Linked DNA regions of Elephas maximus indicus. The protein of the gene in region 1 binds, or shares a complex with, the protein of each later gene. Links are inferred from orthologs where the notes say so. Each region holds a gene or a part of one and is shown in the gene's direction. Other genes may lie near its edges.

Region 1 (7,462 bases):
TTGAACCAATCAAGAAGATGGGGTCTCTTGGAGGCAAAGTTTCTACAGAAACTGAAACCATATCCCTGAAGCTCCATTGGTACATTTTTCACTCACATCTGAGCTTTCCTGGGGGTGGATCCAACTTTCTTCAACATCTGGAATATTGAAAAGGAGGAGAGAGAAGCCCTGGAGCCTTGTCAATCAAATTCCTTTCTCGTTTGGCAAATTCAGCCTCAGTGACAAATTGCACAATTTGACGTAAATGAAGTTGATAGATGTTGGCAAAGCTGTTTTTAAACAGCAGCAATGGAAAGATGTGTAGGATTTTTTTTTACTCAACAGTATGTTTAATAACAAATGAAATAACCAGATGTTTAAAAAACCCACCACCTTCACAATGTCATCTGATAGCCGGCTGCTGCTGATTAATGAGGGCGTGGGATTCGTTCCGGTCCCAGTTCAGAAAGTTGGCACTAAAATTCCCTTAAGGACTTCGTTGGGTAGCTCCTCATTATAATTCATGTAGGGTTGGTTCTAAGTTCACCTCTGAGGCTCTCTTGGGCTAGAGAGACTGTCCCAGATGTCAGAAGACTTGAATGTGTAGGCTCAGGTCTGCCACTACTTCTTGCCTGTGTGACCTTGGGTAAGTCACGGAACCCCCCTAGATCTTAGGTTTCCCATGGGATAAATGATGATAATAAGCCCTGCCCTGCCTACCCCAAGATTGTTGCCAGGCTCAAACAGAATAACAGGCATGAATCACTTTTTAAGTTTAAGTTTGTTAATATTTTTATCGAGAAATAATTTCACCCAGTAAAATGCACAAACCTTAAGTGTACAGCTAAATAAAACTTCACATATAAAATATATATATATATATATATGCACACACCTGTGTTGCCATCCAGATCAAGATACAGACTATTTCTGGCAACCCAGACAGTTCCCTTGAGCTCTTTCCCAGTCATACCTACTCCTGAGGAACAATTATCCTCACCTCTATCACCACAGATCAGCTATGCCTGCTCTTGAACTAGGTCCCTGAATAGCCAGACGCTTTGCGCTCAACTACTAACCGAAAGGTTGGTGATTTGAACTCACTCAGTGGTGCTGCAAAAGAAAGTCCTGGATATCTGCTTCTGTCAAGATTACAGCCCAGAAAACCCTATGGATCAGTCCTATCTGCAACACATGGGGTCACCACGAATTGGAGTCAACTCGACGGCGACTGGTTTAGTGTTCAAGAGAAAGCTTATTTGCCATTTCTGATAATGTCAAGTCGCCTTTTGTGCAGCTGAAATTAAACCCATCTGAAAGCATAGTTAGAAGCTTCCCTTTGAAGCTTCTCATGATTTTTAAAGGACATTGCTCATCACTCAGCCACTGACCACAAAGCTTTAGGTAATTTGTTGCCACCCACTAAGAACTTCACCTCTGGCAGCGCAGTCAAGATAGGGAGGCAATCAGTGGAGCTTGATTCTGTTACTTAAAAGAAATATTTCTTGCTTTCCTTCCCTGTGACACGTGCTGGGTATTGTGGGGGACTACCACAGTAGTTCAATGAGGTTCAAAACTACAGACAGTAGGGGGAGGGACAGTGATGTGAATTTTGAGTAGTAAAAAATGTAATATTCCACAGTAAAGGGGACGTTTTACATTATTTTTAACTTTTTATTGTAATATAATGAATAATATATACGTAGTAAAGTGCACAAAATCTTAAACGTGCAGCTTAGTGAATTTTAAAAAAAATTGGCACTTGGCTTCCAGATAAGAAATAACACATTAACAGACCTCGGATTCCTTCATTCTTCTTTCCAGTCTATAGCTCCTTCCTTCCCCCTTCAAAATAACCACTATTCTGACATCTGTCACCATAGATTAGTTTGGCCTGACTTGAACTTTATATAAATGGAGTTATACTTTTGTGTCTGGCTACTTTTGCTATGAGTTGGAATCGACTCCACGGCACTGGTTTTTTTTTTTTTTTTTACTTTTGCTTACCAGTATGTCCGTGAGGTTCCTTTAAGTTGCTTTTTGTGGATGTAGTTCATTCTTTTTCTTACTGCATTTGTTACATGACCACAGCATAATTTGCATGTCCGCTCTTCTGTTAAGGGACATTTAGGTTGTACTTTCAGCCTAGTACAAATTATGGTGCCATGAATGTTGTTATACATGACTTCCGGTGAGAATATGCACACATTTATGCTGGAGATAGACAGATATGTACATAGAATTGTTGTTTTGTAGAGTATGTACATGTAAAGGAGCCCTGGTGGTACAATGGTTAAGTGCTTGGGTGCAAACTGTAAGCTGCAGCGGTTTCAACCCATTGTGAGGCTCCATGGGAGAAAGACTCGGAGATCTGCTTCTGTAAAGATTACAGCCTAGAAAACCCTATGGGTCACTACGAGTAGAAAATTGACTCAGTGGCACCCCAAAACAACAGAGCATATATATTTAGCTTTAATAGATGGAGCCATTTTCCAAGGTGGGTGTACCCACTGACAAGCCCTCAGCAGTACCTGATGGTTTCTGTTGCTCCACGTGCCGCCTCCGTGACTGGTGTTGTCAATTTTAAAATGTAGCCATTTTCTCACCATCATTAGTTTTCAGGGAAATAAAAAATTTAAACTGCACTGAGATACCCTACACACCTATTAGGATGGCTCAAAAATAAAAACTCCAAAACAAACTAACAATATCAAGTGTTAGCGAAGATGTAGAGCAACTGGAGCTCACCTTGCTGGTGGGAATGCAAACTGGTGCAACCACTTTAGAAAATAATTTGACAGTTTTTAATAAAGTTAAACACATATTTACCACAAACATCAAAATAACCAAACCTGTTGCCGTCAAGTCAATTCCAACTCATAGTGACCCTATAGAACAGAGCAGAGCTGCCACATAGGGTTTCCAAGGAGCAGCTGGTGGATTTGAACTGCCAAACTTTTGGTTAGCAGCTGAACGCTTAATCAGGGCACCATATGACCCAGAAATTCCACTGCTAGATACTTATCTAAGAGACATGGAAATATACATTCGTACAAAAACTTGTACAAAAATGTTCATAGAAGCTTATTCATAATAGCCATAAACTGGAAATAACTCAGACATCTATCAATAAAAACAAAATAACCAAACCCATTGCCATCGAGTAGATTCCGACTCATAGATGAATGGATAAATAATACACGGTGTATCTATACAATGAATACTACTTGGTAATAAAAAGGAATTAGTGATACAGGTATCAACTGAGCTAAAGAAGCCAGACACAAAAGATATGGTATGATTCTATTTACATGAAATTCTAGAACAGGCAAAACTAATGATAGAAAGCAAATCAGTGGTTTCCCAGGTTTTTTTTGGGGGGGGGGTTGGAAATGAGATTGACTGCAAAGGGATCTGAGGAAATTTTTTAGGATGATGAAAATGTTTTATATCTTGGCGCAATGGCTACAAAGACACATTTGTTCAAATGAATCTAAGTGTGCTCTTAAAACAGGTGCATTTTATTGTAAATTACACTTCATGAAAAAATGTAATAGAGTTGGTTAAAGGGCAATAACAGATGAGAATAAGTGTGGCTGTGCCCATTCTATAGAGAGCACCTGTATAGCTATGTCAAAGGATGAGTACTTCCTCCTGTTGTGGCTGGACGGTGACATCTGAGCTGACCCTCTGCCTGATGGGCTCAAAAAAAAAAGGCTCAAAGCAGAGGAGAATTTCAGAAAGGCCTCTCCAGCCACGGGACGGATGGGTTGGAGCAACGAAAAGACTTAGACTTCCCATTGCATGAAGAAGAAATTGAACTTTTTTTGCCATGGTGGAAAGGACCTGCAAGTCTGGCCCAGCCTACTGTGAGTCTTACCCCATCTGCCTTCAGTCACCGTTTTCCAGCCATACACCCCTTTCTATTCCTCAAACGCCAAGCTTGTTCCCCCTCCGAGCCTTCACTCTTGTCCCTCTGCTTGAAATGCTGCAGCCAAGACTGTGCAAGGCTGACCCTTTGTCATCATTCATGCTTCGCCTCAAATGTCACCTCCTCAGAGAGGCCTTCCTTGGCCATCCAGGCACTCTCTCCGGTCGCTCTTCTTTCTTCATAGTCCTTCTGACAATGTTCAGTCATTTATTATTTATTTACTTATATTATGTTTCCCTCACCAGCCTGAGAGCTCCACTAGGGCAGGGGTTTTGTCTGTCGTGGTCGTCGCTGTGTCTCCAGCGCCTAGAATAGTCCCTGGTACTTGGATGGCGCTTAATAAGGGGCGAGAAATCCGCGCAGGCCAATTGTGGAATCGCGTTCTCCCAGCAGAGCGGATTCTAACCACGTGGGAGGGTAAGGGCGGTGGCCGCGGGTGTGTCGGGAGTGACAGCGCAGCCTCAGACCCCGCCCAAGGCCCCGCCCCATCCCCGCCCCCGGCCCCACCCATGTTCCTGTCCTTCTCCGCGGGTCTCCATAAAGTTCCTTCGGTGGCGCGCCTCGCAGGGGTTTCTGGGAGCGTCCAGCCTCGGCCAATCAGGAAGCGCAGGTGAGCGGCGCGAGAAGCGGCGGCCGCGCTCTCAAACCCGGACCTGAGCGGGGGAGACGGCTACGGCGCCAGGTAAGGTCGCTTCTGTGCACGTCCTTCCGACCTGGGGCTTGTCCTTGAACCCCGGATTTTGCGCCTGGGCGGAGCTCCGTCCCCACGCTCGGAGCTGTGCCGTTCACACTTCCCGTTCTCCTCGTGGCAGCCAGGCACGCCTGACGCTGGTGACATAACGCCCTGTCGAACCGCCCCCCATTATAGCGTAGGGTTGCGCCCCTGGAATGCCTTTTATTTGCCCTCTTCTTGAGTACAGAGCCTTAGCCTCCTGATCTCCCTCTCCCCCGTTATAGCAGTCGCCGCGGCGCACCACGCCCCCACCCCTTGCCCTACGGGCCCACCCTTGGCTGGATCGGCGCCCCCTTCCCACTGCAACATCCTTCCTGATTCCTCCACTGACCGAGCCCTGCCGGCTCGCTGGCTCCCCGGGGATACACCCTCTTGGGAAGCATTGCCTTCTGAAGGAAGGAGCCTTTGGGTAGGGGGGAGACCACCCTGTAAGCCTCTCCCATCCCTTGCCCTTCCTTCTGAACAGACGTTCAGGGGGATGTTTCTCCCCATTCGGGGAATTGCTTATGATTGGAATTCGGGGGTGATCCATCCTTTTTCTGGGCTTACAGCATCCCATCTTCTGCAGAGGCGATGCCTGAGTTTTACTGGATTCCTTTTAAAAAATTATGGGGCCGACGCCAGGGGTCTTTAGTCAAAGTTTGAAGGATACCTTGACAGAGCCGATTGGTTCGGATTTGCCCTTCAGCCAGGTGTAGGAAGGAGGTTTTGTTTTTTGTTTGTTTTGGCCAAGGTCTTTCCGCACAAGCAAGGGTCACCTTTTGTATTCTGTCTTCTAATACTGACCGCAGACCAGATTTGGGGGGAGAGGTTTTTCAGGCTTGTAGCTTTTCTTCTTTGTTTCTTTCCACCATTCTTCTTTGTGCTTTTGTGTTTGTGATGCTTTCATCTTTCACTCATGGTGAACTCATCCAGACTTATACCTTTAAATACCTATATATTAAGCTAACAGCTCGGATTTATACCTCCAGCCTGGGCCTCTCCCAGGCCTTTATCTAGCTGCCTGCTTGATGTCTACTGAAATGGATGATGGGGAGCTCAAACTGAATCTGCCAAAATGGCGCTCGAAAGCTCCCCTCCATCTCCCTCTCCAGATTGCTCCTCTTGCTCTTTTTATCTCAGTGAAATAAAAGCCAAGTGCATCCTTTAGCTGCTCTGGCCAATACCCTTAGAGTCATCTTTGATTGCTCTTCTGTCTCACTCTATGTCCAATGCCTGCCATCCTGGGCTAAGTCACTGCCACCTGTCACCTGGATTATTGGAATAGCCTCCCAACTGGTCTCCCTGCTTCTACCCTGGCCTCCATTTTCAGCACAGCGGCAAGAGGGATCCTTGTAAAGCAGGCCAGATCATATCACTTCTCTACTCAAAAAACCCTTGAATAGGTCCCCATTTCATTAATAATAAAACACAGACTCCTTACTGTGAGCCCTAAAGCTTTACACAGCCTGACCCACTGACAGTTTTCTGATCTCGTTTTCTTCTACCCTCCCCAACCCTTCCCTTACAGGAGTCAGACATGCTTTAGCCTCAGGGCCTTTGCACTTGCAGTTCAATATTCATGTGACTTGCTCACTTACTTCTTTTAGAACTTTACTGAAGGGTCGCCTAATGAGGCTTTTCCCACTTCCTGTCTTCCTTAACTGCTTTAGTTTTTCTTCTTAGGAGTTATATTTTACATATTTATTGTGTGTATTGTTTGTCTTCCCCCTCTAGAATGTGAGCTCCTGGAGGGAAGGGATTTTTATCTGTTTTTTTCCCTTACATATCCCAAGCACCTAGGCCTGGCACACAGTAGATGCTTAGTAAATATGGAAGAAATGACTGTGCTTGGCACTGTTATAGGCTTGGGGATACAGTGGTGAATGAGACAGACCTGCTGTCATTGAGCGGATGGTCCTAGAGAGGCCACTGACAAAAAAAACACAAATATAGAATGTGGTGTCGGGCATTTTATAAATGAGGACAGATTATTTGAATAGGGACCTGCCTGAAATGAGAGTGCAAGTCATAGGAATATCTAGGGCAAGAGCATTCCTGGCAGGGGGAACAGCAAAATCAAAGACCCTGAGGTGGGAACAAGTTGGGGATGTGAAGAACTTGAATATCTGAATCTGCGTCCTGATAGGCTGAGGCAGAAAATAAGGTAGAGGGAAAGAGAGATGTGCTGGGGGTGGGGGGGCAGGGTGTGTTCAGGAAACAGGTCACTTTTAATTCTGCAGACATTTATTTGGTGCCTGTTAGTTGCCAAGCTTATCAACTGCTGAGGATTTAGAGTTGAGCAGTCCATGGACCTTACCCTACAGGAATTCGCCACCCAGTGAGGGAGACAGAAGTAATCACAACTACTTCACTAGGGAGGAGCAGCGATAGAAAATGCAGAATAGTGTGGGAGGGGGCTGGGATGAGCGGGGCTGCCCCAGCTGGCTTTACAGGACACATAGCCTCCTTATGTGGACAGGGTGGGGATGGCACTGTGAGTGTGCACCTGGCATGGGGACAGAGGAAACAGCATGAGGAACTCCAAGAAATAGAGAGTTCCTGGAGTGTAGAGTTGGGGGAGGGCAATAATAGGTGAATATGATAAGGGTGGCAGTGTCTGTTCTATGGAGGGCACCCTGAATAGCTATGGCAGAGGGTGAGTACTTCCTCCTGTAGTGGATGGAAGGTATTTCCTGGGGAGTATTTCAGAAAACTCTCTCTGGCCATGGGGAGGATGAATTGGAGGAACGAGAAGACCTAGACTGTTGAGGTGATCCAGGAGAAGAGCGAGAGGATCAGTGTAGGGGCGAAAGAGATAAGGGTTGGCTTTGCAAAAG
Region 2 (7,494 bases), on another chromosome or scaffold:
ACAGCATTAGCTGTGTCAGCTGGGGCACAGGATATAGAAAAAGATTGCCCGTTTAACACTACTACATATTCACTGAATATTGATATACATATTGTGCAAGCATAATGTAGAGACTGGTCCTATTTGCTTTTTGAGGTCAGGTATCATCACTTTTCGTTTTTGTATTCTCAGCAAATAACAAAGTCCTGAATGTCGGTGGTCAATAAATGTTCACTGACTTATTGATCCAGTAGTAACTTTTCATGGTACTTTTAATTTTGTTTTTGTTGAGAATATACACAGCAGAATGTAACACCAATTCAACAGTTTCCACTTATACCGTTTAGTGACATTGTTTACATTCTTTGAGTTGTGCAACTATTCTCACCTCCTTTTCTGAGTTGTTCTCCCCCCCGCCCGTTAACATAAATTCACTGCCCCCTAAGGTTCCTATGTAATCTTTCAATCATTAGAGTTGCTGTTGTCACTTTCATTCCATGTAAAAACCCAAACCCTTTGCCACTGAGTGGATTCTGACTTGACTTAGAGAGACTCAAAGGACAGAGTAGAACTGCCCCACAGGGTTTCCAAGGAATGGCTGGTGGTTTCAAACTACAGACCTCTCAGTTAGCAGCTGAGCTCTTAAACACCGTGCCACTAAAGGGTTCCTTTCATCCCATATAGCTAATCCTTAAAAGTGCATAATGCTTAAGGCAGACCTTTTTACTAGTTAAGCTAAACTATTGTTTGGTTTTGAGAAGACTTCAGGGGATACTTCTGGTTTAAGTTTTAAAGGCTATCTCAGGGCATTTATGGCACCTTTCATGAGAATGACAAAAATCCTTAGCATGCCTAAATAAGACGTCCTGAGTACCTGTCAGTTATGCAGCCTGTACAATGGTAGGACAATCAAGTTTTTCTAAATCCATTAATGCTTCTGTCTTACTCCTCTGTTCATCACTGGATTCAAACAGGGCACTAGCAATGAGGCCCAGCAACTTGAAGCTGTTGGCTAGCTTCATAAAATGCACAGAAAGAAATTAAAGCTACAGACCACAGAGTTATGCCCAATATAGATACTATCTTTACTCTCCAATTCTCATTTTTAACTACTCTTACCTGGAGATAAGGAAGGTAGAGTTGGAAGGATGGTTCTCAAAGGCTGGTGCTCTGGGTAACAGCATCAGCTTCACGTTAGACATGCAAGTATCTGGCCTCACCCCAGACCTACTGAGTCAGGAGCTCTGGGGATAGGGTGCAAGAAGAGGTAGTTAATAAGACCTCTAAGTAGTTCTGAAGTCCACTGAAGTTTCAGAACTATGAGCCTAGAGCAGCTTTTACTACACTAATATAAACTTGTCACATTTAGAATTTTTACTTCTCAATTTTAAGTCTTTTGTGGCTAGATCTAGGCTATCAAGCAGTTTTCATAAATAGACACACAACACACAAGTGGAATTTTTTTAATAACTTACATACGTATATTTATTGATATATATATGTGGAAACCCTGGTGGCATAGTGGTTAAGTGCTACAGCTGCTAACCAAAGGATCCTAACCAAAGGATCGGCAGTTCGAATCCGCCAGGCGCTCCTTGGAAACTCTGTGGGGCAGTTCTACTCTGTCCTGTAGGGTCGCTATAAGTCGGAATCGACTCGACGGCACTGGGTTTGGTTTTTTTAGATTATATATGTAATATATTTATATGTCTTTTAAAATATTAAAAACTTAAAATCCATACATATTCCCATAACTTTAATACAATAACTAAAACCTACTGCCATCGAGTCGATTCCGACTCATAGCGACCCTATAAAACAATACTACTTCTCAATTTTAATTTTCAATCTTTACCTATATGCATACTCATTGACGTAACTGTAGAAATATACAAATTTTGGTTCACCTATAGCCTTATAAAATTATTTGGTAAATATGCTAAAGACAGCTTTTTTTTCCTGATTACAAGAGTAATAATAATAATTCCTGCCAATCCTGTTTTCTACTTAAATATCTGTTAAAAAAAACCCCAAACTCGTTGCCATTGAGTCGATTGCAACTCATAGCAACCTTTCATTTTTCATAAAATTGAGAATTTTTTAAGAAAATTTTACCAAATGTCATCTTCATAGAATTTTACATTTTATCACTATATTGTTAGCATTTCCTACATCACTGAATATTCATATAAAATTATTTTTTTGAAGGTGGAGCATCTATTTATTTTTTAATACAGAAAATACAGGCGTATTTAAAAAGGGAAACATGCAAAAAAGTCACAAAGAGTAACAAAGTATATCACAAAACAAGAAAGTAAACTGAAAATAACAAGTGTACTAAATAAAACAGAGCCCAGCACAATGTTGGGCTTTCTTCCTGTGAGTTCCAGGATGCCCAGGCACTACCAGGTAGAGATGATCCCGCTTTTGCAAGAGCCGGTTGGTTGTGCAATGGTTAAAACCCAGTCCTCCTTTTCCTGAACAGTCACACCCTGTCCAAGCTGAGAGGCAATGAGACCGGTTTGGTCTTATGCATAAAACTGCCTTTTAATGACTGCATAATATTCCATCATAAGCCTTAGCTAAGAGTGAGACATGCGGGTTATGCCCCTTTTTTAGTGTGATTATTGAAACTGTCCTTCTTGATTTTTCCCTGGAAGTAGAATTATGGGGACAAAATGATGAACATTTTAAAGCTTCTTGACTTTTCTGTGTCTCGTCCAGTCTTTACAGTTCTTTTAAATAGGTTAATATTTCATCTGATACTGTTTACTTAGCTGTTCCTCTATTCCTCTTTGGTTGAACCACACCAGTGGTTCTCAACAGGTACTATTTTGCCCCCTAGAGGACATTTGGGACTGTCTGGAGACAGTTTTAGTTGTCACAATTGGTGAGGAGTGCTACTGGTATCTAGTAGGTTGAGGCTAGGGATGCTGCTAAACATCCTACAATGAAGGCAGGACTAATTGCTAGAAAAAAAGCATCATGTTTGGTAAAGGAGAGGGTCAGCAACAACTAGAGAAACCCTCAGTGAGATGGATTGACCCACTAGCCACAGGAACAGTCAAACAGACATCACGGAGATGGTGCAGGCCCAGGCAATGTTTCATTCTGTCACATAAGGTCTCCATGAGGTGCAGCTGATTAAAGAGCAACCAACAACAATAGCTCTATTGACTGCAGTTTTCTTTTAACTAATGAGTGTACTTGAATGGTTGTGTAAAGTGGCTATTTTGAATAGCCAAAGCAGATATGGTAACCAGTTTCAAAAACTTCCATTTATCTGCTACTGAACGCTTATTTTACTTTTGGAAAATGTAAGCCTCTTTTTATCCCTTAGAAAATGGGCCACACCGTTGGTATTAGGCACTCAGATCAGTGAAGCTGTGGTACATCTGCAAAATGCAGCGAGACGTGGATGGGGGAATTGTTGAGTTTTATCCGAACTGCCAAATTTCATTCTACAAGTGGCTGACTTTTGTGAATGGGACTTGGATTTAATTGTACTAGCCCACAGGAGAAAACTAACACTTCTCACCATTCCAGAACAGCTTATTGTCACTAATTCATGTAGATGATTCCAATAGTTTTCAGGGAAAGAAGCACTGATCCCATTGATAGATTTATTTTCAGATCAACTTCCCTCCTAAATAAAAAAAAGCTGTTACATTTTCAGGGAGTGTATTTTTTAAGACTTACTTTTAAATTTCGAATTATCTTCAGTTCGTTCAAAAAGTTGCTTGCATAGGAAATTGAGAACAGATGGCGCAGGACCGGACAGTGTTTCGTTCTGTTGTACATAGGGTCGACGGCACCTAACAACAACACTATTCTCTTACTTGATGTGTTATATGGCAGTAAAAATAAATAACTTCACACCTTGAAGTTACTTAACACTTTTCAGTTTTCCGTAACAAGGCCACGCAGTCTCTGATTTGCGTGTCTCCGCTGTGCATTCATTTTGCTCTGCTTTTCCTTGGAGAGATAACAAACCCAGTATTTGTGTTAAGCCACCCCAGCTGTCTCACTTCACAGTTGCACCAATTTGTCCGCGTGCTTCTAGTGTGCTGTAGCGTGGGAGTGGGGGCCACTGCCTTGGCACACAAGCCCGCCAGAGCGGCGGGACTAGGGGAAGGGGCCCCATTACTCTGGACACCAATGGGAGAAGCGATGATGCTAATGTGGAGACCGGGAGAGAGAGACAAAAGCCAGCTGGGAGAGGTCGTAGGCACGGCACAGAGGCCGGGTTCCAGCGCCCAGGCAGCCGCGCTGCTTCACGCACGCACGGCCCCACCACCTCCGCCGGGCGGCCCTCCTGTTGCTCCCGCCCCCTCGGGGGCCTTCTTCCTGCCCGGCGCGGGCTGTCCGTGGCGGCGCCTGACCCGGCGGCAGGGTTACTAGGAGGATAGGCTGCACCTGGCGCTTTTCCCCTTAACTGCTGTCGAGGCCAGGAAGGAGGGAATACGTTAGACAGCCGCAGGGGTGGTTATGGCTGAGAGGAGAGGCTCCTGCAACGTCGGGGAGCTGAGCCTGACCGGCACTGCTGGAGGCGCCCTGACGGGGTCCTCTCTCTCAGCCGGGTTCCGAGCGGGAGGCCGGAGCTGGAAGCATTGGCGGCTTGTCCAGTTCCAGGGTGCTGAGACGCGGCGCGATGGAGGAGGTCGATGGAGAGCCGATAATCACTGTAAGGGCGCCCGGAACAGGCTTGCTTGCCCTCACGATCCGAGGGCTGCGTCTGCTCCGTCGCTGCAGGCTTGTCCACCGCCTTGCGGCTCGGGAGGCGCCCGTATCCCTTTCCTCGGCTCAGTTGCCGCCGTCGAGAGATCGCGGCTTGAACTAGGTGCCCGTGTTCGGGTCGCAGTGGTCGCTGGGTTTCTGCTTCTTTGTTCCCTCAGAAACCTGTCCCCGGAGGCCCCATTCCATCCCTCTTCCGCCCTTGTCTTCCCAACCTTCCTACTTTGCTCCGCTTTTCCTCCTGGGTGTTAGAGCGAGTCCGGACCCAGCGTGGGTGGGGCTTTTTTTTTCCAACCGAATTAAGCTGCTCCACATCTCAGCGCCCTGAGATTGGCGTCTGCTAGTCGTGCAGTAAGGGTCCTTGGTGGCGCAGTGGTTAAAGCTCTCGGCTGCAAGCCAAAAGGTCGGCACTTCGAACCCACCAGCCACTCCGCGGGAGGAAGATGTAGCAATCGGCTCTCGTAAAGATTTACAGCTTTGAAAACCCTATGGAGTGTTTCTCTGTCCTATAGGGTCGCTACGAGTCGGAATCCAATCGATGGCAGTGGGTTTTAGTCGCCAGGTTTATTAAACGTATTTATTCTCTTGGGATCACTCCTGTTTTCACTGCTCTGTTTGCGTTCAATTCAGTCTGCACTCTCAGGAGGATATGTCAAGTATAAACGATCTGTGATTTTATGAAGAGATACATGGGCTTTGGATACTAGATACCTTTAGATATTTCCTTCCGCTGCCCGGAATGTTTTTTTCTTCCCTCTTTGCTTTATCTGCCGCTCATTTTTCAAATCTAAGCTCCGTCAGCCTCTCAGAAAAGCTTTTCCTGACCCCCTGACGAGTCAGTTTGTCTTTATGCCCTAGGCTTTCAGAGTTCTGCACCTCTTGGGTCTTAGCAGCCTCTAATAAAACCAAAAACCAAACCCGTCGCCGTGGAGTTGATTCTCACTCATGGCGACCCTAGGTGTTACAGAGTAGAACTGAGCCCTATAGAGTTTTCTTGGACGTAATTTTACGGAAGCAGATTGCCAGGCCTTTCTTCCACAGAGCTGCGGGTGGGTTTGAACTGCCAACCTTTAGGCTAGTAGTGAAAGTGCTACCCAGGGACCTACCTTGTCAACGTCTATACACCACTAACTTTGTAAGTTACCTGACCGAGTGTTTTTTGCTTTTTAGAAGGTTAAAATGCGTACAGTTTTCACCTAAAACTACCTGATTGCAAAGCAGTCTATGATAAAACCAAATACTGAAAATGGGGATTATTTCAAAGCTAATGAGGTAGAAATGGGATATGAGATCTTAAATAGCAGCTGAAATGAGTTATTTTCTACGAAGTTTATTAGTTCTATAGAGTGTTAATTATTAAGTACATGTAAAGTACCCTAAATATTAAATATCCATCAAGTACTATGTCATTGTTTGTCAGTGGTGTATTCAGGAAGAAAACTTAGAATGTCAGAATCCCTGGGACTTCTTCAAACTTCACGTCATCTTGCTGTCCCCACCTCCATTACTCTGATATTGAGCCATGTGTTTACAAAGGGGATGAAGGTGCTCTAAGCTAATTTTCCCTCCGGTGGTGATAATTAGTCCCTGAGTGGTGAAAACAGTTTACAGGCAGGCTGCTAACCAAAAGGTTGAAGGTCTGCCCAGAGAGTCCTCAGAGGAAAGGCCTGGTGATCCACTTCCAAAAAATCAGCCACTAACGCCTTACAGGGCACAGTTCTCTGCACATAGGGTTGCCATGGATTGGAATCAACTTGGCAGCTATTGGCTTTGGTTTGGTGATGATTGGCCTGTGATAACCCAGCTCTGCACTGATGTGGAGACCAGGTAGGAAATTGGTTAGCTTTGTGGGCTGAGCCTCGTAGACAGTCACAATCCTTGGTAGAACTCCATAATCCAGAGTCTGAGCCTCAACTCTGCAAGTTTAGACTTTTGTCTGTGCTTCAGAGTTAATCTGCTCTTTGGGTTTATTCTAATCAGACTTTCGAGAGGCTGATGTATTATCCTGAACACCATTTTATGAATTCACCCCTTCTCAGAATTGTGTCTGCTGTTAAGACAACTGCTTTCTGTTATCAAGGTACTTGAAGGCATATTAGTAATTAGTAGGTTCAAGGATATTTAAGCATAAATTCAAGGTAGTAGAACAAACCAAACCCATTGCCATTGAGTCAATTCTGACTCATAGAGACCCATAGGGTTTCGAATTGTTGACCTTTTTTGGTTAGCAGCCTGAGGTCTTAACCACTGTGCTACCAGGGTCCCAGTAGTAGAATAATTGTGAGTGATTCATCTAGACCAAAGGTCTTCAATCCCTTTTTTTTTTTTTTGATCAAGCACTCCTTAAGAAATACAAGTTATAGTCACCTTCCCCAGGAAAATGCCTGTATGCATATATTTTGAGGTGTTTTGAGGACCCATTGAAGCCAAGACACTTGGAAAATTCCCTCACACCCTTTGCCTAAGTCAGTTTCTACCCTGACCACTTTCTGACTCTTGTCACCATAGATTAGTTTGCCTGTTCTTGAACTCCAACATGTACTTTTTTGTGTCTTCCGGCACGCTGTGGCCTTTTTAAGTGTGAGATGCCGCTTAGGCAGCCTATAGTGGTAGGGATTAGGAGTTGGATGGATGAAACTGAGGCCCTTGGGAATTGGCCTGAGTCAAAGAGGAAATGCAGAGCCAACATCGTAGAGGTGGCACAGAAGCCTTGGGATTGGATGTCTTTATTTTTTTCAGTGTGCAGCAAACAGGGTTCGATTCTTTTTTTAACTTCCCTTT
Region 3 (7,198 bases), on another chromosome or scaffold:
GTCCTTTTGTGTTTTTTTCTTTTTTGGTCAGTTTCTGCCACTTGGTCTAAAAATGAATAGCTATTAGTTTTCTCCTTATCCTTCACAGAATTCTTTTTGTCTCTATGCTATAGTTGAATTTTATTGGTTTTGTTAACATGGCTTCTCTCTGACATTCATAGGTTACAACATTTCTTACACCAAAATGGCCCTGGTGGTGTACTCTTCATTTCCATCCCACAAAATATCCTCTTATCTTTGTGCCAAGATGGGATTTCCTGCTTCTCAGGTGACCCTGACTGAGTTATCTGAGTCTGGTCTTTCCATGGTTATCACATCACATTAAGCAAATGTCTATTCTTGCTCTGCAATACAGTAGGACCAGACTCGAAACATTCCAGTCCGTGTGGAGGCCATCAGAGAGAGATCTTCCTAAAACATTTTGTTCTTAATTGAATTGGAAATAATATATTCTCAAATAAAAAATATTGTAAATGGTAGGTGGGTTCCTAAACTAGCTACAAAAGTGGTAGAATGATGGTAAAGGTAAGCGATGAGCTTTGGGGTAAGGAGTGGAGAAATCATTTTAAACGTTGACTCTGCCACTCATTAGTGCTGCAATTTATTATTATCCCCTCAGTGACTCAGTTTCCTTTTCTGTAAAATGAGGATAATGATTCTTCTCAGGATTGTTAGGATAACATGAAAATCTTTATATAACACTTTCATAGGGACTTATTCATGGTATTCATGCTTTATCATGAATTGCAAAAAATTAATTTCTTATGTAGCAAATACATTCAGGTCAGGTTAGATCCGGTTATATAAATGAGTTTAGCTGTATTGGTAATAATGGTATATTGGGAAAATGAACTGTAGTATCTATAGAGACCGCCATGTGTCAGCACTGATCCATGTGCTGAGGTTATAACACTGGGAAAAAATTCCTTATCCTTTTGGAGCTTAAAATTTAGTGTGTATGTGTGTGTGTGTGTGTGTGGGGTGGGGGGGGCAAGTTTCTATTAAAAGTTACTCAATGAAAGAACCCAAAACACAAGATCACTTACTAAAGCCATCCCAATTTTGACTTGGCCTAAAGACTGATAAGGAGTCCCTTGGTGGTATAAATGGTTAATTCACTTGGCTGCTTACCAAAAGGTAGGGGCTTTGAGTCCACCCAGAGGTACCTGGGAAGAAAGCCCTGGTGATCTACTTCTGAAAAATTAGCCATTGAAAACCCTATGAAGCCCAGTGCACTCTGACGCGTATGGGGTCACCAGGAGTGGTGACTGATTTGAAGGCAGTTGGTTACTGGTTGGGAGCCCTGGTGGTGTAGTGGTTAAGAGCACAGCTGCTAATCAAAAGGTCAGCAGTTCAAATCCACCAGCCACTCCCTGGAAACCCTATGGGGCAGTTCAACTCTGTCCTATAGAGTTGCTATGAGTCGGAATCGCCTCAACAGCAATGGGTTGGTTTGGTTACTGGTTAAAGACTGACAGGAATAGAAGTTACTAATAGAAAGAAATGGATGAAGAAAGAGACAGCTAGTTCATAACACAAAATTTATAAATGGTAGCTTCTGATTCTGTGAAATACAAATAGTAATATCTCATAGGTTTTTGAGGAAATTAAATCCTATTATCTATGTAAAGTGCTTAATTATAAGCACTAAATAATACTTATTTCCTTCCTCAAACGCTTGTTAATTTCCAACATGGCTGGAAGGATTTCAAGAACCCCTATTATTGTTATATGCCATTTGACCTTTTTTTCCGATTTATATATAGTATCTTTTAGAGCAATGCTCAATATTTATTTGTTTGTTTGGATGCAGGCAGATCTTTTGTTATAATTTTCCTTAAAGCTTTACAATCAAAATAATTTATTATAACTCATTCTACTACTCGTAATTGCTAACAGAAGAATGAGTTCCAAAAATGTGTGAGATGGTGATTTGGAACTCTACACTATATCTCAGCACAGAAATAATGTTATTTTAACATCCCAAACCATGCAATAAGAAGTCATCTCATCCCATAATGAGGCTGATACTATGTCAGGGTAAAACTGAGCAGTGGGAAGTTTTGAACACAGCTTCCCTCCTGTCCTTTATTCTGTCTCTGCTCTCAAACTGCCTGGTAAAGCTTCCAAAAATGCAGTCACACAAATGTGGAACTAGTGTATTATTGTTTCCTTGGATGTTGTTTTACATCAAAGGAATAAAGTAAATGTGAAATGAGTTAAATGAATTCTGTGAGTTAATGAGTTAAACAACTGAAAGGAATTTGTATTTTTCCACAGCTTCTCAAATCCCACCAATCTTTGATTCTGAAGTTTGGCCCAATTCTTCTGCACAGCCCTTGCTTTCAAAACTTGAATGTGAGGGCTGACCCACGCCTCCAAGAAAGACATCATTTTTGAGCTCTAGCCAGTCCATAGTCTTGTACTGGAAATTTTGAGTCTGGTAGATGAAAAGGAAAAATGGGATGTGGCTACAGTTCAATCTCCTATATATGTAGCCCAGTTAGGAAATTCAGGTAGAGGTTCTCCATGTGAGTTAGCTTATCCAGAATTACTTCACCCCGCTTGTCAAATACCTAGCTAAGGCTTACAAAAGAACCAGGCTTCAGTTGAAGAGGGGAAAGCATCCAAGAGAAACAATTGTACTTAAGAAGGGTAAAGTGCTGAGCAGGTATACCTAGAAAGTCTAGTGAGGAGTTAGGTATGGTGAAGGCACGAGGCTGGGGCAGGGAAACAAATTAATTTTGTTTTTCATATTTGGCAACTTCTTGAGTGTTGGTGCTTCTGGTCAGAGATGCCTCTGAAAACCATATGCTTTGTAAGCCTATGCCTATACAGCATAGTTCTTTTAGGTGCTGAAACATACTACAAGTTCAAAGGTACTATAAATTTGGTTTCACAATTTCACTTATGTGATTTATATAGTGACTTTTGAATTGAGCAGCTAGGTGGTGGAGACTGTATAAAAATCTTGGCGCTAAAGATTTGTACCTGACAGCTTGACTGATATTAAATGCTTTCTACACAGTAGTTTTTATAAACTAGGTATTATACAGCACATAAATACATAAGCCCTTTCACCAGAACCACCATCCTGTTGAAATAAAAATTCATTCTATTTACAGATAAAGAAACTGAGGCTTACAGAGAAGATCAATAGCTTCCTCTGGACTATACAGCTAGTAAATGATAGATTTGAAACTAAGTCTATTTGACTCCAAAGCTACTTAAAAGCTTTAAAATCAACTGTCTCAAAATGGAACAATAGTAGAGTTTTCTCTTTAATCATCTGACTACTCATCTTGACTCTTATACAAAAGTTGTGTTACAGTTCTGGGTTTGACTGCCCAGCTCTGTGTCCTTGAACGCACCACCCAAATTGTCTAGGAAGTCTTTGGTGTCCGTTGAGAGGGGCGGTCCACGTGATCATCAAGACCTGTCTAACCGTCAGCGCTTAGAATCTCTACATACGTATGGATTCAATCTTGAGCCTATGCTCACTTACCTCCCTGAACACGATGCCTTTTATTTGGAACATACATATGCACACTTGTATTACTGAAAATATACATTTTACTTCTATTGTGAGCTGCGTAGGTAATCATAATAGCCACCATTTATTGCATTTCTTGTAGGCACCAGCTCTATAAGGTGAACTTAAAAGTTATTTTCTGGAGGAGGACGCCAAGGTTCAGAGATTTTGAGTGGGGGAGCCAGAATTCTAGCCCTTGTGTATATGTCTAATAGGACCTTAATGAAGCTGTATACATTTTCTAATTGTGCTTTCGGCCTACGAATGATTTTGGACATTGCTTTTTCAACCACAGAGTTTTTGTTGTTGTTAAAAGATATCACTTAGCTCCTGTCGCTGATTTCACCCTCTGCTTACTTTCTGCTAGATAGGGAGAAGTAGAGTGGTTGGGAGCTTACTGTTTTTATGTTAAATGGTTCTTCAGAGCCTAAGCCTAAAGCTAAGGGCAGGAAAACGAACGTAACCGCCCGCTCAGTGCCTCTGCGGCGCTCGGCGGATCCACCACCCCGCGCCTTCCTTTGCCAGAACTCACGTGCTCCTCCTGAACTACGTTACCCAGCGCACCGCGCGGCCGAGAGCGCGGGCTCGTAGAGCTCTTCCTTCCTCCTCCCCTCGCAGGTCGCAGCGAGATGATGCATAGGCGTCGGGCGCTAACGAGTGACGGTGTCCTGGCTCGCGACCGCGGCGGCCTTAGCAGCGGCAATAGGCGCAACAGCGGCGGCGACTGCAGGGACGACGACGGCAGGGCGGGCGCTGTGCGCAGAGGGGAGGGGTAGGCGGGCGGCGCCGGCGGCTTCAGCTGCGGCAGCGACGGCTAGAGCGACGGAAGAAGATCCCCTACCAGCCGGCGGTCGAGTTAGGCCTCAGCAGCGCCCGGAGCCGCTCGCACTGTCCTCTGCGGAAGATCTCCATAGAGACCGTGACATACACAGAGGCGGGGGACCGCGGAAGGCTGCCGGACCGGAGCCAGCTCCTCGGCCTCCGCCGCCGCCACCCCCTCCCCCTCTGCCAGCGCGCACCCTCTCTCCCCTCCTGCTCGCAACCTCGAGGTCCCTGGTGTGCCTGTGTCCCACCGTGTGGGTAGCGCGGGCGGACTTTTGGGCCGGGACCGGGCGGGGGGGGCTCTAAGGCCGTCGCCTCTGCCTCTCCCGCCCCCCTTACCCGCCGCGGAGCGGGAAGCAGCGGAGGCTCCACCATGGCCTCGGGAGCCGGAGGAATAGGAGGGGGCGGCGGCGGCGGTGGCAAGATCCGGACGCGGCGTTGTCACCAGGGGCCAATTAAGCCTTACGCGCAGGGGCGACAACAGCACCAGGTACGGAACCCCGACGCCGCGGTGGCCTAACGGGTCGGGGGCTGGGCGAGAGGGGTCAGGCAGTGCGGGGCTCTGGCTCCCCACACCCGCCGCACGTGGATCGGATGGGAGGGCCGGAGGAAGGCCCGATTGAGGCGGCGGGAGCTCAGGCCGCTGGGGTGGCGACGGGAAGTGGGCTGAGACAGGCCCAGCCGTGCGGCGCACATGTGTGGCTTGGGCCGCCTCTCGCATAGTCTCTGGGTCAGGGGCTTCCCCGGCAGGCTCAGGGCGGGAAAAGAAATTCTAGGCCCACGGTGCGCGCGTTTCTTTCTTTTTTTTGGCGGGGATTGGGGATTTGGAGGTATTACTCACAGCCTCTCGAGGGAGAAAGGAAAAGATGCGGCCGGAGCCCATTACGCGGGCTGTGCGTTTTCTAGTCTCCCGCGGTTCAGTGTGTGGGGAGGGGGCTGCTCCGAGGAATCGGCTTCTTGGACTCACGGGAGACTGGGGGGCGCTGTTACACGGAAAATGGAATAATATACTCTCAGCCGATTGATTAATTCTCCGTCTCCGCCGCCCTTGTCCGTCCTCAATCTGAGAGCATTCGCTCAACTTTTTTTTCTTAACCGGGATATAGTTAACCGTGGCACTGGGGCATTTTGAAAGTCCCTCTCCACCCTTACGTATTTTCTGCGCTGCGCGGCTCTTCCCTCCCCACCTGTCTCTTTTTTTTTTCTTCCTCCTTTTACTTTGGAAACTAGAATTGGCCATTCTCCACAGTTGACCAGGATTCCATTTCTGATCTCATACACAAAATATTTTAATATTATGGGGCGTGTTCTAAAAGTTTAAGGACTTTTGACGCTCTAGGAATGTTTGTGGTCTTATAATTTAATCACCGTGTACACTCCTGGGTGTTAAAAATTATAAGGAGTTTAGCCTAAGTATAAATGAGACATTCGTTTCTGAGAAAATTCCATTTTTAAATGTTATTTGTGTGTTGGCGGATGGTAGAGCAGAAAATACCAAATACCTATTTTAATAAAGCCACTTATAAAACTGATTGACACTAAGGTGGGAAGTGTGTGTCTTAAACTTGTTAGAAACAAAAGTATAGCAAAAGGGTGTAATAACTTGTTGCATACAGTCAGGTAGACTTCCTAGATTGCTTTATTTTGCATGATAATAATGAACACTTTAACATGTTTGTTGGTGGTGTTAAATTGTATCATTAAGTACAGATTTGAGGAGAACTTTTGAAAGTAAAAATTGTGGATTATGTATTATACCAAGTAGGTCTCTAATAGTCAGAAGGCTTGGCATTACTATTATCTCCTGCTAGTTTTTCCACGGATATGTACAGAAAGTGCCTCGTTTTCACATGGCTTTGTGAGGAACAGGTACTTGTAGGCAGATTTAATGCTAGAATTCAGGTCACAAGCCTTGACCATTTAACTTAAGCCTCTTTTGTAGAATGAAAGACATACATGCTTTCTGTTTCTCCTATAGAATATCTCAGTGCTTTCTACGATTTGCTTAAAAGAAAATTACTACACATAGAAAAACGTTTTCAATACAGATGAATAAAAAGTTTGGACAGAGTTTAGAAGGGAGTTAATATATTCCAGGCAGCGAAAGTTGTAATCACAGTTTATTTTTAAATTTACTTAGATAAGAATCTAATTTTGAGGAAATAATGTCTTAACAGAATGCCTGTGATCTAAACTGCCCTAGAATTGATACGATTTCAGGCTGTATAGTTTTTAAGTTTTAAATTTTCGTAAATTATCATTGCTCCCTATCTAAAATACTTTAAGCTTCTTGCCCCAGCTGCTTGATTTATTTAAAAAATATATATGTATTTTTAGCTTTTGAATTGGGATTAAAGATGTTTTGAGATTTCTTGATCAACACTACATGTTTTATTTAATACTGGCAGGAACTACCAAAGAAAAGTATTCAGGTATATACAGAAGAGTGCTTTCTGGTTTATCTGTTTTTTAATCTTATATTAAGGGCTTTTCCTTAGTCTTTACTGAAACTTTTGTGAACTACCTGCTTGCTGTATTCTACCCTAAGCTGTCAAATTGGATGTTTTGCAGCAGTTGCTGAGTCATCATGAATATCGAGGCGCTTCATGACATGGCATGTTTTGTACTAATGTTATTTAAGTGACCCAGGGTTTCTGAGCAGGAATGAAGTTTTTCATTATGTAGTAGAGTGTTGGAACCAGAATGAGAGGCCTGGCACTGTTAGTTAATGGCTGTTTGCCATTGCTTGTCAGGCCAATTAGCTAGTGTAGTCAGACAGTACCTGAGACTCTTGCATGTGTTAAATTGACTTGTAATTTCCTGTTTTGACTTCTGGTTTAGCTC

Evidence for each region.
Region 2: NUP93 (region 1) and NUP85 share a complex: the UniProt entries of both Homo sapiens proteins name them as parts of the nuclear pore complex. The link is inferred for Elephas maximus indicus from reciprocal best matches to the Homo sapiens genes NUP93 and NUP85.
Region 3: NUP93 (region 1) and NUP153 share a complex: the UniProt entries of both Homo sapiens proteins name them as parts of the nuclear pore complex. The link is inferred for Elephas maximus indicus from reciprocal best matches to the Homo sapiens genes NUP93 and NUP153.

The regions. Positions count from the first base shown.
Region 1 is NC_064839.1:23,667,317-23,674,778, forward strand, and holds the start of NUP93 (nuclear pore complex protein Nup93), read left to right. Parts: upstream 1-4,451; 5' UTR 4,452-4,592; intron 4,593-7,462. UniProt on the Homo sapiens protein: Plays a role in the nuclear pore complex (NPC) assembly and/or maintenance. May anchor nucleoporins, but not NUP153 and TPR, to the NPC. During renal development, regulates podocyte migration and proliferation through SMAD4 signaling.
Region 2 is NC_064837.1:65,551,657-65,559,150, forward strand, and holds the start of NUP85 (nuclear pore complex protein Nup85), read left to right. Parts: upstream 1-4,492; 5' UTR 4,493-4,630; coding exon 4,631-4,663; intron 4,664-4,672; exon of another isoform or gene 4,673-6,540; intron 6,541-7,494. UniProt on the Homo sapiens protein: Essential component of the nuclear pore complex (NPC) that seems to be required for NPC assembly and maintenance. As part of the NPC Nup107-160 subcomplex plays a role in RNA export and in tethering NUP96/Nup98 and NUP153 to the nucleus.
Region 3 is NC_064819.1:63,114,082-63,121,279, reverse strand, and holds the start of NUP153 (nuclear pore complex protein Nup153), read left to right. Parts: upstream 1-4,196; 5' UTR 4,197-4,727; coding exon 4,728-4,844; intron 4,845-7,198. UniProt on the Homo sapiens protein: Component of the nuclear pore complex (NPC), a complex required for the trafficking across the nuclear envelope. Functions as a scaffolding element in the nuclear phase of the NPC essential for normal nucleocytoplasmic transport of proteins and mRNAs.